Oreochromis niloticus: one gene and its partner. The protein of the gene in region 2 binds, or shares a complex with, the protein of the main gene of each other region. Links are inferred from orthologs where the notes say so. Each region holds a gene or a part of one and is shown on either strand. Other genes may lie near its edges.

Evidence for each region.
Region 1: the proteins of ptpn23a (region 2) and zfyve9a are in contact, whole or in part, in a crystal structure (PDB 5MJY), measured with the Homo sapiens proteins. The link is inferred for Oreochromis niloticus from reciprocal best matches to the Homo sapiens genes PTPN23 and ZFYVE9. Residues at the interface, in NP_056281.1 of Homo sapiens: Phe62, His125, Glu137, Lys141, Val142, Cys144, Thr145, His146, Gln148, Cys149, Leu189, Lys192, Ser193, Asp196, Arg198, Lys199, Leu202, Arg205, Ile206, Ala336, Leu338, Leu342, Asp348, Ala350, Val351; in NP_004790.2 of Homo sapiens: Glu2, Tyr4, Phe5, Gln6, Glu8, Ala9, Leu12, Asp13, Val15, Leu16, Asp17, Phe19, Glu20.

Annotation. Positions count from the first base shown.
Region 1 is NC_031982.2:25,242,494-25,247,141, forward strand, and holds the start of zfyve9a (zinc finger FYVE domain-containing protein 9), read right to left. Parts: upstream 3,334-4,648; 5' UTR 3,072-3,333; intron 3,042-3,071; exon of another isoform or gene 2,919-3,041; intron 2,372-2,918; exon of another isoform or gene 1,335-2,371; intron 1,327-1,334; 5' UTR 1,188-1,326; intron 1,085-1,187; 5' UTR 991-1,084; intron 985-990; exon of another isoform or gene 1-984. UniProt on the Homo sapiens protein: Early endosomal protein that functions to recruit SMAD2/SMAD3 to intracellular membranes and to the TGF-beta receptor.
Region 2 is NC_031976.2:31,628,862-31,633,509, forward strand, and holds the start of ptpn23a (tyrosine-protein phosphatase non-receptor type 23), read left to right. Parts: upstream 1-1,507; 5' UTR 1,508-1,671; coding exon 1,672-1,755; intron 1,756-1,790; exon of another isoform or gene 1,791-1,935; intron 1,936-2,311; exon of another isoform or gene 2,312-3,640; intron 3,641-3,769; coding exon 3,770-3,844; intron 3,845-4,608; coding exon 4,609-4,648. UniProt on the Homo sapiens protein: Plays a role in sorting of endocytic ubiquitinated cargos into multivesicular bodies (MVBs) via its interaction with the ESCRT-I complex (endosomal sorting complex required for transport I), and possibly also other ESCRT complexes.

The DNA.
Region 1 (4,648 bases), on a different chromosome or scaffold from region 2:
TGTAAAAAGAAAACACTGAATGTATTTATTATTTATTATCTGCAACTATATTTTTAAATAAGTTTAATTTTAATTACTTGCCTTTGAAAGTTATGGTTAGGCAAACAACAGGTGGTTGGCCAAGATTTGTAATTAACAGAAACTAAAGGAAACAGGCTGCCCTTTTCACACTGTTAAAAAGTAATCATGAAAATAATCAATGAATGATTCAAGAGTTAGAATGATATTTATCTGGAGCTGTGAGATTAACTGGCAACTCTGGATTTGGAGAAACCAAAAATGTACATGTTATAAATCATTAAAAAAATAAAATAAAACGCATTGAATTTCCCATTTTTTCTGATGCTATAAGAATTCCCAGGACTACGATCTCACATCCTGAGAAACAATGTTTTTAGCTCCACATCCAGCACCGCCGCGTTCCAGACGCCGTCTAAGGGTGAACACAGGAAACCTCAAGTGATCGCTTCCTCTCTTTAAGAATAGACTGACATCACTTTCTACCAGCATGATCGCCTGACTGAGTGACACATTATTATGTAATGTGTGCTATGCTTAACGCCCAGGCTGGAAGTACACTGGGAGTTGTCCTACCTCCTCCTTCTACTCCTTTAAGCTTTTTTTTCTGCTCTTCAAGACAAAATAAATAAAAGCAAAAACACATAAAAGGAAAACATGCCACAGGTTTGTATTCTCTGAAAGGTCACGCTCGCTTAAAAATAAAATAATTTCTTTGACAGGAGGTTGAAAAAGTTAAATCCCCTGAGATTTACCTTCAGGAGGAAGGAGGAAAGTAGCTGTCCTCCTGTTATAAAGAGCTGCTCTGCTTCACAGAACGTGTCAGAAGCTATTACGAGCTTCCTTTCTCCCTCATGTTTGATCTACATTTAACCACCACTACAAAGAAAGAAAAATCAGCACAGGGAGACTGGCTGCTGGTCTGCCATTGGGGAGACTTGTAATTCTTTCTGAAAGCATACAGTAACCTACATCTGGGACGTCTCTGCACACATGAGAGCTCGTCTCTGCACGGACGTCTGTTGGATCAGTCGAATCACACATCCTCACTGGGATTTATAACCACCTGAAGATGAAGTGGGATATCTTAATGCTTCATGGGAAAAAAAACCAACTTTCACATCAACATTGCCAAATACCATCTAGTACCAGATGATTAATAAACATACATTTGGATATCTGGTGGTGACGTGGCTTTTTCTTTGGTCCCAAATTCATTTTTTAATTTGCCGCTGCTGATGACTATTCAAGGTGCCCCTGGGACAGGCCTACTTCTGGATAAATCCACCTCCAGGCCTGGACTAAAGTCTGGACAACAAATGCAAAAGTCGCATCAGCAAGAAACCTGTTAAAAGTTTGTTTGGACTAAACTACCATAGATACAAAACCAACTCACTCACAGTGGTTTCTTGTATATACAACACTGACATTATTTCATTACTTCACCTTTTTTCATTTTTGTAAAACTTTGAGCATATGTAATATGAACATCCACTCATGTAACAGTGGCAAAAAACAGGAAAAGCATAATGGGTAAGAGACTACTCACTGACATAAGAGGTCAGTAATTCAGGGAGCTGTAAAGGAAGAGACTTGTGTTGCAAATATTTTGCACCAGACCATGTTTAAACTGCTCATCATCAGCAGATAGATAAGAGAGGACTTTGACATAGAGCAGAGCATTAATCAAAATCCAGTCTAAATGTTACTATAACCCATTTTTAAATTAGTTTTCCATTATTTTGTAACCTGAATTTCCTTGACCCACCAGAGGGGTTCAAGCCAGCACCAAAGGGAAACCCACCTTCCCCTTGTATTATTAAAATCTATTAGAAAGTGTAAGGATTTTATTTTTAAAGGCATAATATCATTTTTTTATGAAATTGCCAGGATAAAAGATACAGATCCGTCAAATAAGATCATGGTCTTTACTGTAGATGTGCACTTGTGCAGAGCAGATAGATGACCATTTGATTAGCTTATGAAATCATAAGTAGCACTGTTCAACCTGAGAAGCATAACTTACCTAATCAAAACGTTTTTGTTTTTTTTGTTTTTTTAAAGTAATCCTAACTGAACTGCACATTTTTTAACATATTCCGAGTTGATTTTGAAATTCTTCACCATCCAAGACCTGGTCAGAAGCAAAGAGACCAAAGATGTAGCACCAGGAAAGCTCACCAAACCAACCCTTGAGAGCGCATAGATGACCACTTGCTTGGATTATGCAACCGTAAGTGGCACTGTGGCTGTGCCTGCTGCCTGCAGGCCAAACACAGCCTCGCTGGATGAAGATCACTCTCAGTTAGACTGGGAAAACACATGGAAAGCTACTCTGTGTCATTAAAAGAAGGTGGGTTAAACTGGTGCAGCTACACAACAGCAGCGGTGAAGTGTTTGTCTATTTGTTTGTTAACTTGGGTAGTTGTATTAGCTGGGCAGCTAGCTGAATTTAACCAAATTCACGAAAAAGGCCACGAGTTAAGTTCCCAAAACAATTCTGACCCATTCGTCTTAGCAGTGTGGCAAAAACTGAGATTTTAGGCGTCAAATAATAGCACTTAAAAGCAGCTGGCTGTACTGGAGAAAGCTAGAAATAGACCTAAAGATTGAGCGGGCAGTCGTGCGCCGAGTGACGGGAGAGACTTGCTGCGCTGGCGGACACTCACGCCGTCACTCGGTGGGTTCCGTTGCTAATGGCCAGTCATAACGGTTAATAGAAACCATAAAAAGCCTTCCTCCTCACATTAAGTCACCCACACCAAAGTATTTTCCTCCTGTCGCACTGCTATCAACCTCATTGGCTGTCTATCCGCAGCTCGCAATGCAAAGGAGAGCGCGTTGTGTAATAGACGTAAGATATAGTGTTACCGTAACGGCACCTTCTCCATATTCCTCACCGTTTATCCACCAAATACGCCAAAAAAGATAGCACCGCAGCCGTCCACGCTCACTTGGGCTGCATCGATAGTTGGCGTTGCAATGGCGGTTTTGTAAACGTTGAAGCAACAGCAGACCCGTGAAATGTCACGAAAACAAATCCAGTTACTCACCGGAGGAATCCTCATCTTTACGTAAAGTCCCGCGGAGCCCCTCCGTTAGCATCCGCCATACCTGATCGCCTTTCAGAGCTATTTTTGAGTATCCGCCTCACGTAGACCCACCACCGCCTGCCTGCCTGATTCAAACAGTCGAAAAGTAAAGCTTCTAGTCTAGCGTAGTTGTGCGACAGCAGCACTCAAGGATCCCTCCCCCAAGGTTTAATACTGGGGAAAAGAAGGAGCAGCGGTAAGTTAGCCAAAATGGAAATCCTAAACTACCGGTTTTCAAAATAAGACGCAAAGCATCTCCCTTAGAGGTTACATTATAACGCCAAGAGAAAAACTGTGAATGCAGATCTAATTAATTTGGATATCATCATTACTTTTCTTTTATCCTTAGTTGTTTTTGTTTCAAACTGCTTATAAAATAAACCAACCACCCACAATTATAATTACTATGTTTACATTTAAGGAAAACAAGCAATTCGGTTACAGATAATATATCGATTAAAACAACCCATCTTTTTGATACTGTAACAGCAAAGTGTCTACGTTTTACGTGTAAGTTGTTATTGTATTATTTTATAACTAGATAAACAAATACCCTTTTCAGGAAAGTTCTTTTTCCTTTTTTTATTCTTAAAACATGTTTGGAGGTGTCTTTCAGTAAAAGCCAGTCCATGTTAGTATTAAATAATAAGAAGAAGAATATATTCAACAGATAATGAATGAAAAAAAAGAACAACTAGCAAATTTACAGGAAAAGAAATACAAAACATCCCAAATTTTAAATATGATTTCATTCAGTTTTATTTCTACACCACAGTCACCTCATGGTGTTGTAAGGGAAATACCCTAAATATTAGGGAGAGATTTGACTATTTGCTTGTTTATAAAACAGGAAAAAAATGCTTTTCAAATAAGGAAATTTAAAAGTAATATAGTGAAAGGTCTGGCTGTGTCCAAATCTATTCGACAGTCTATAATATTAGGCTAAACCCATACATATTTGCAAAGGAGGAACAGACTGTATTTTTTATTTAGAAATGACTTAAGCAACTAAAGGCTCTGCAAAGGACAACACTTTATAGCCTTTTATCACGTGTATGTAACATATGATTTACTGCCATTCCCACTTATTATTAAGGTTTAATTTCTGAGCTCTTACTTTCCCGTAAACAATCGCGCAGTTTCCGGTGTTGAACCAACTCTTAGTGTCAAACTTGACAAACCTCCAACCGTTCAGCTCCGTCCAGCCTGCACTGTGGTCCAGCCGCCGCCGCTGCAGCAGCAGCAGGGACATTTTGGCTCAAACGGAGCGGAGGGTGAGGTGCTGAGCCCCGGGGCGGGTCCGCGGCTCCGTCCCGCTCACGACACCCTAGAGCCAAAATGGCCATTCATCCCCGCTCTCTGTAACCTTGCCAGCCCTCGCAGAGGATGACAGGCATGGAGGAATTGATCAGCACGATGCAGCACCGTCAGAGGTGATCAATGAAATGGGATGTGATGTGTAAAAGCACCCAAACTCTTTTAACCCCTCCGTACTCGCAGACCCGGCTGCAGTTTTAATAACGCAGTGGTAAAAGCAA
Region 2 (4,648 bases):
AGTTGACACTCCATGGTAACAGAAATGTAAATGATCATAACTTTCACTCACACAGTCGGCTTTACTTTAGGAAAGGAGATGGGTCTGCCCCATTTCATTAGCAGCAGTCCTTTAATTCATAAATATAAATTATCCTGGATGTGGCTGTTTTAAAAAGATAAAAAAATAAAAAGGTGAAAGCTCCAATTTCTCCACTTATTTTAAAATGCAGAGATTGTGTGAACATGCCATAAATACACAGTGCCTTCAAAAACTGCCACTAGTTACCAGAAAAAACATTTTAACAGGTGACACTGTTTACAGACAGAACTTCATTCCCAGTTTGCATAATTTTAACTCTAATGTCTGTATGTACAGTACAGTAACAGCACAGTAGTAAGTAAGTACAGTAATCTGACAAATGTTGGCCTTGGGGAGAGTAAAAAGAGTAAAAGAGAAGACAAAAAATAATTAAACAAAAAATATATACACAACTTTTGTCAAGTGTATGTATATATATATATATATATATATATATATATATATATATATATATGAGCACTTTTTTAAATTTACAAGCATCATAATTGGCACCGACCTTCAATGTTGTTAGCAAATGTTATTTTTTTCTTAATAACAGCTATAAGGTATGAAAGATATAGGTGGACACGTAGGCAGCCCACAATAAATTAAGAATATGTAAAGATCTGCTCAAATATTATTTTTACTTTCTTAATATTTATCCTGCTCAGTATGAGGCTTCAGCCCTCTACTGCCTCAGTGCTACTGCATGGTGAGAGGGTCCAATACAATGTAAAGACAAAACAATCAGTGGTCCATGGAGGTAGACGAGCATGCACATGCATCTTATTATGGATTAGGCTAAATATTATTCCATAATTAATCTGTAACAGCTTCCCCAGGCTGTGACCCGGTTGTTATCAGAACTCTGACATTATGATCCCCGGCATCTGCAGCCCAATATGCACTTGTCATACCACTGTTCTCTCCAGGAGAATCATTCACTCATTGGTGAAGTGCTGAAAATAAAATAACCAATAGGCTGCTCAACATTAAAAAAAGAGTATCATTGTAAACTATTTCTTAAAACAATAATTCTTATGTTAAATTAAACAATTAGTTTAAAGACATGAGTGTGCAGTTGTAGTTTAATTTATTTATTTACTGTAATATTTTAAAACTAAAAAGTTAAAAACTACGACTACATTAACCAATTAGCTTTACATAATATAAATGTATCATTAAAAAAATCATTAAAAGTATAACCAAAAAGTTTCACACTTGCTATGGCAATTTGTATCTTTCTCATTTCTTCTGATACAAGAAAATCAATGATATTGGGTTCACTTTTTTACTATAAAATATTTAGTTGTAAAGTTTTAAATAAGTTGCGGCTGTATTATAAAATTACACTTTAGCTACTTTCCAGTGTGATTTGTATATCCTAAGTCTAGTTTCTTCAGGAACTACATTTCCCAGAAACGCTCGCAAGCATATCGAAGGCCTGCGTCACGTGTGTTCCCAGTTTCCGGTTGAAGTGTAAATGGATACATGACACAGTTGTTTGGGGGGAAAAGCTATCTTCAGGAAAATCGTTAACGTCCACAAATTCGTCAGCGGGATTTTGACATCGCACCGACCGACTGACAGCTCCGTGTAGATTCGGCCGCGATGGAGGCGGTCCCCCGGATGCCGATGATCTGGCTGGATCTGAAAGAGGCTGGGGAGTTCCAGTTCAGCCCGTCCGTGAGGCAGGTGAGCTGGGTGGGGAGTGGAGCAACAGGGCTGAGGTCGAAAGTCAACCAAACAAGGATTATGAACGAAGGGATGACCTTATCAAGAGGGTGCCGCTAGCCATAACTCAAAGCAACAGTTGTCGCTACCTGTCGAGGGTAAAAGAATTTTCCAGAACGGGTAGCTGACGTGCTAGCAAAGGTCTGTGTCAGGCAAACCCCTCCTGCTCACTGCCTTTGTTTGCTAACGTTAGCGAGCTGCTTGCTAGCTGGTAATAAGCTAAAAACTCAAGTTGATATTTAGCTTTCAGCTAAGTGGCTAGCTCTGTAGGAATCGATCAAAATACTGCCAACGCGAAAGGCATATGTGCGTATTTCTAGGACTCCTACATCTCGAGTCAGCCTTCCGACATGAGAATATTAAACAATGATCTCATTGTCACATGCACCTGAGCGAGCGGAGCAGTTTGTACTATTCAAACTACCAGCCTGCTTAATAGTAAACACGGGTTTACATAAGCTTCTATAACGAAATACACAGGGAAAGTTGTCACTACACCTGTGACGCTACTTCTTACCTTAACCGTAAGAAAGGTGAACTATCCTGTTATGTAGCGCATGTTAAAAACAAATAAAGCCATGTAAAAACAGAAACAAACAAAATTATAGAGGACAAATATGGAAGATAAAGACCCTTTAAAAAAGAGGAAGAACGAAAAGTTTCGGGCCCTTTTTTGGTGCCTTCAAATCCATTCTGGGAGAAAACCTTGTGTATGTGAGCATCCAAGTCCAAGCTTTGTTTTTCCTGTTGGGCGACATTACAACCTTCATGTGTTAGAAGAACCTATTCCTGTATGGTGTCAAAAAGGGATTTCGCTTTTAGCTTGGGAAAAAAAAGAAAGAAAATTAAATATTAACAGATTTTTTTTAGGCCTACTGCTTCCAAAGCTCATCTCGGATATTTAAACTCCAGATCATTTGACTGCTTATTAAAGCTGGTATCATCTTTATCTGGTGACTCATTTGTCTTCCCAAACGTCTTCCTCATGCACGTAAAAGGACTTTGTCCTCATGACTAAATACAATAATCAGAGGGGTTATGTGGTTGGTTTGGTTTGTTTGTTAGCAAATCGTTATGGCGCAGAGAACAAAATTGCACTTGTGAGATCATTGTTTCACAAATGTATGTCAGATTTATCTAAGCAAATTTGAGAGACGTTATCTTGATGTTTCCACAAAAATGTCACAAACTGATCTGGATCCAGACATCCTTTTAGATCCAAGGATTCACTTCATACATGGTGTGGAGTATATTTTTAGCCACTGTGGAGGTGGAGATGCAGTTTCAGACTTTCTTATTAGTAATTCTTTTTGGTAATAGTAAGACTTATTTTGATTTAATTTAGCGACAGAGTGTTTTTTTAAAAAAATACTAAGAATGATTATTGTATTATTTTTATTGGCCTTAAAAGTGTAGCCTTTAAATAAGGGGTAGTCGATCAGAACAACATTATTTTAAAAATGTATCTAAAATGCCAACATTTTCTCTGTTTACCCCAAACTAATGCACAATAGCACATATTTGGCCTGAAGGAGTAACAACATGACTGTGTCTGTCTTCTTGCTTTGTCATTGTGAACTTTCCATGATTGAATTAAAATTGAAACAAAAGCACTAGTAGAAGAATGAGTGTATCTGCAGGGCTGTTTACCTCCTGACCTGACAATTAGTAGCTTAAAGCTTATTGTAGTGGCTTATGGGGGACAGTGTGAGTCCTGGCAAAGCATGATGGGAAGTCTTGAAGCTCCAAGAGTCTAAGTGCTTGGCTTATGCTCAAGACTAAAGATTAACATAATGAGTAATAAGCCCCAGTTCAAAGACATTTGAATTTTTTTTTTTCTAAACAATTTAACCCTCAGTATTAGAAATGATATATTTATTTCTGTATTAGGATCTAACCCTTCATTTAATTTTGTTTTTACCTGATTTTCAGCAGCACATTCACCTCCTTTTTGCTTCTGCTTCTTTTTCTCTAGTTCATCTTAAAGAACTATGGAGAGAATCCGGACAACTACAACGAACAGCTGAAGAAACTGGAGACGCTGCGGCAGGTGAGCACTGTGTCAAAGTATTCTCAGTCAGATTTCTGTGACTCGGACTTGTCCATCGTTATGTGGGTTGCTATTGAATATAGTGAAACTGACTGTTAGGCATCTGAAATTAAGTGTTCCCAACTTCCAGGCATAGTTCACATATGACTATGAATCCTTACTGGGATATTGCCGGGGTTATAGTGTTTGTTGCAGGACGCCGTGTTCTGTTGACAGTTCTTCTTTCCCACCATTGCCAAGTGCTTCTTCACAGGGGATCTTTTGATTATTGGGATTCTCTCTCTAACACTGCAGGGTCTATACTTTTCACTATAAAGCACCTTGAAAGGACTGTGTAAATAAAATTGTGATGAATAAACTGGGTTATCACATAAAGTCATTAATATTTAACCTTAACAATCACAATCCCAACCAGATGGTAAAAGAAACCTCCATCCAGTGCATCACAACTACAAACTGTCTGTTTTGTGATGAGGGTAAGATCATCATGTATAGTCATATGTGTGCAGTTTTACATTAATAGTAATATTTCCATGTGGACAGGGATTTTCAATACAAAAGATTCTGATACAAGTTATTAATCATATCATAATGAGGCCTTTGGAAGTGTTGCCAAGGAAAATGATAAATTCTGAGCATTAAGCACTGAAACCCATTGTTATATAATTCATCGCTGGGCTGGGTCACAGCATCTTTGCAAGAGTAATGATTTTTTGTAGCTGATTAAACACAACAGAAACACAATGTTTGTGTCTGCTTCGCAGAGCGCAGTGAATGTGACGAGGGATTTCGAGGGATGCAGCA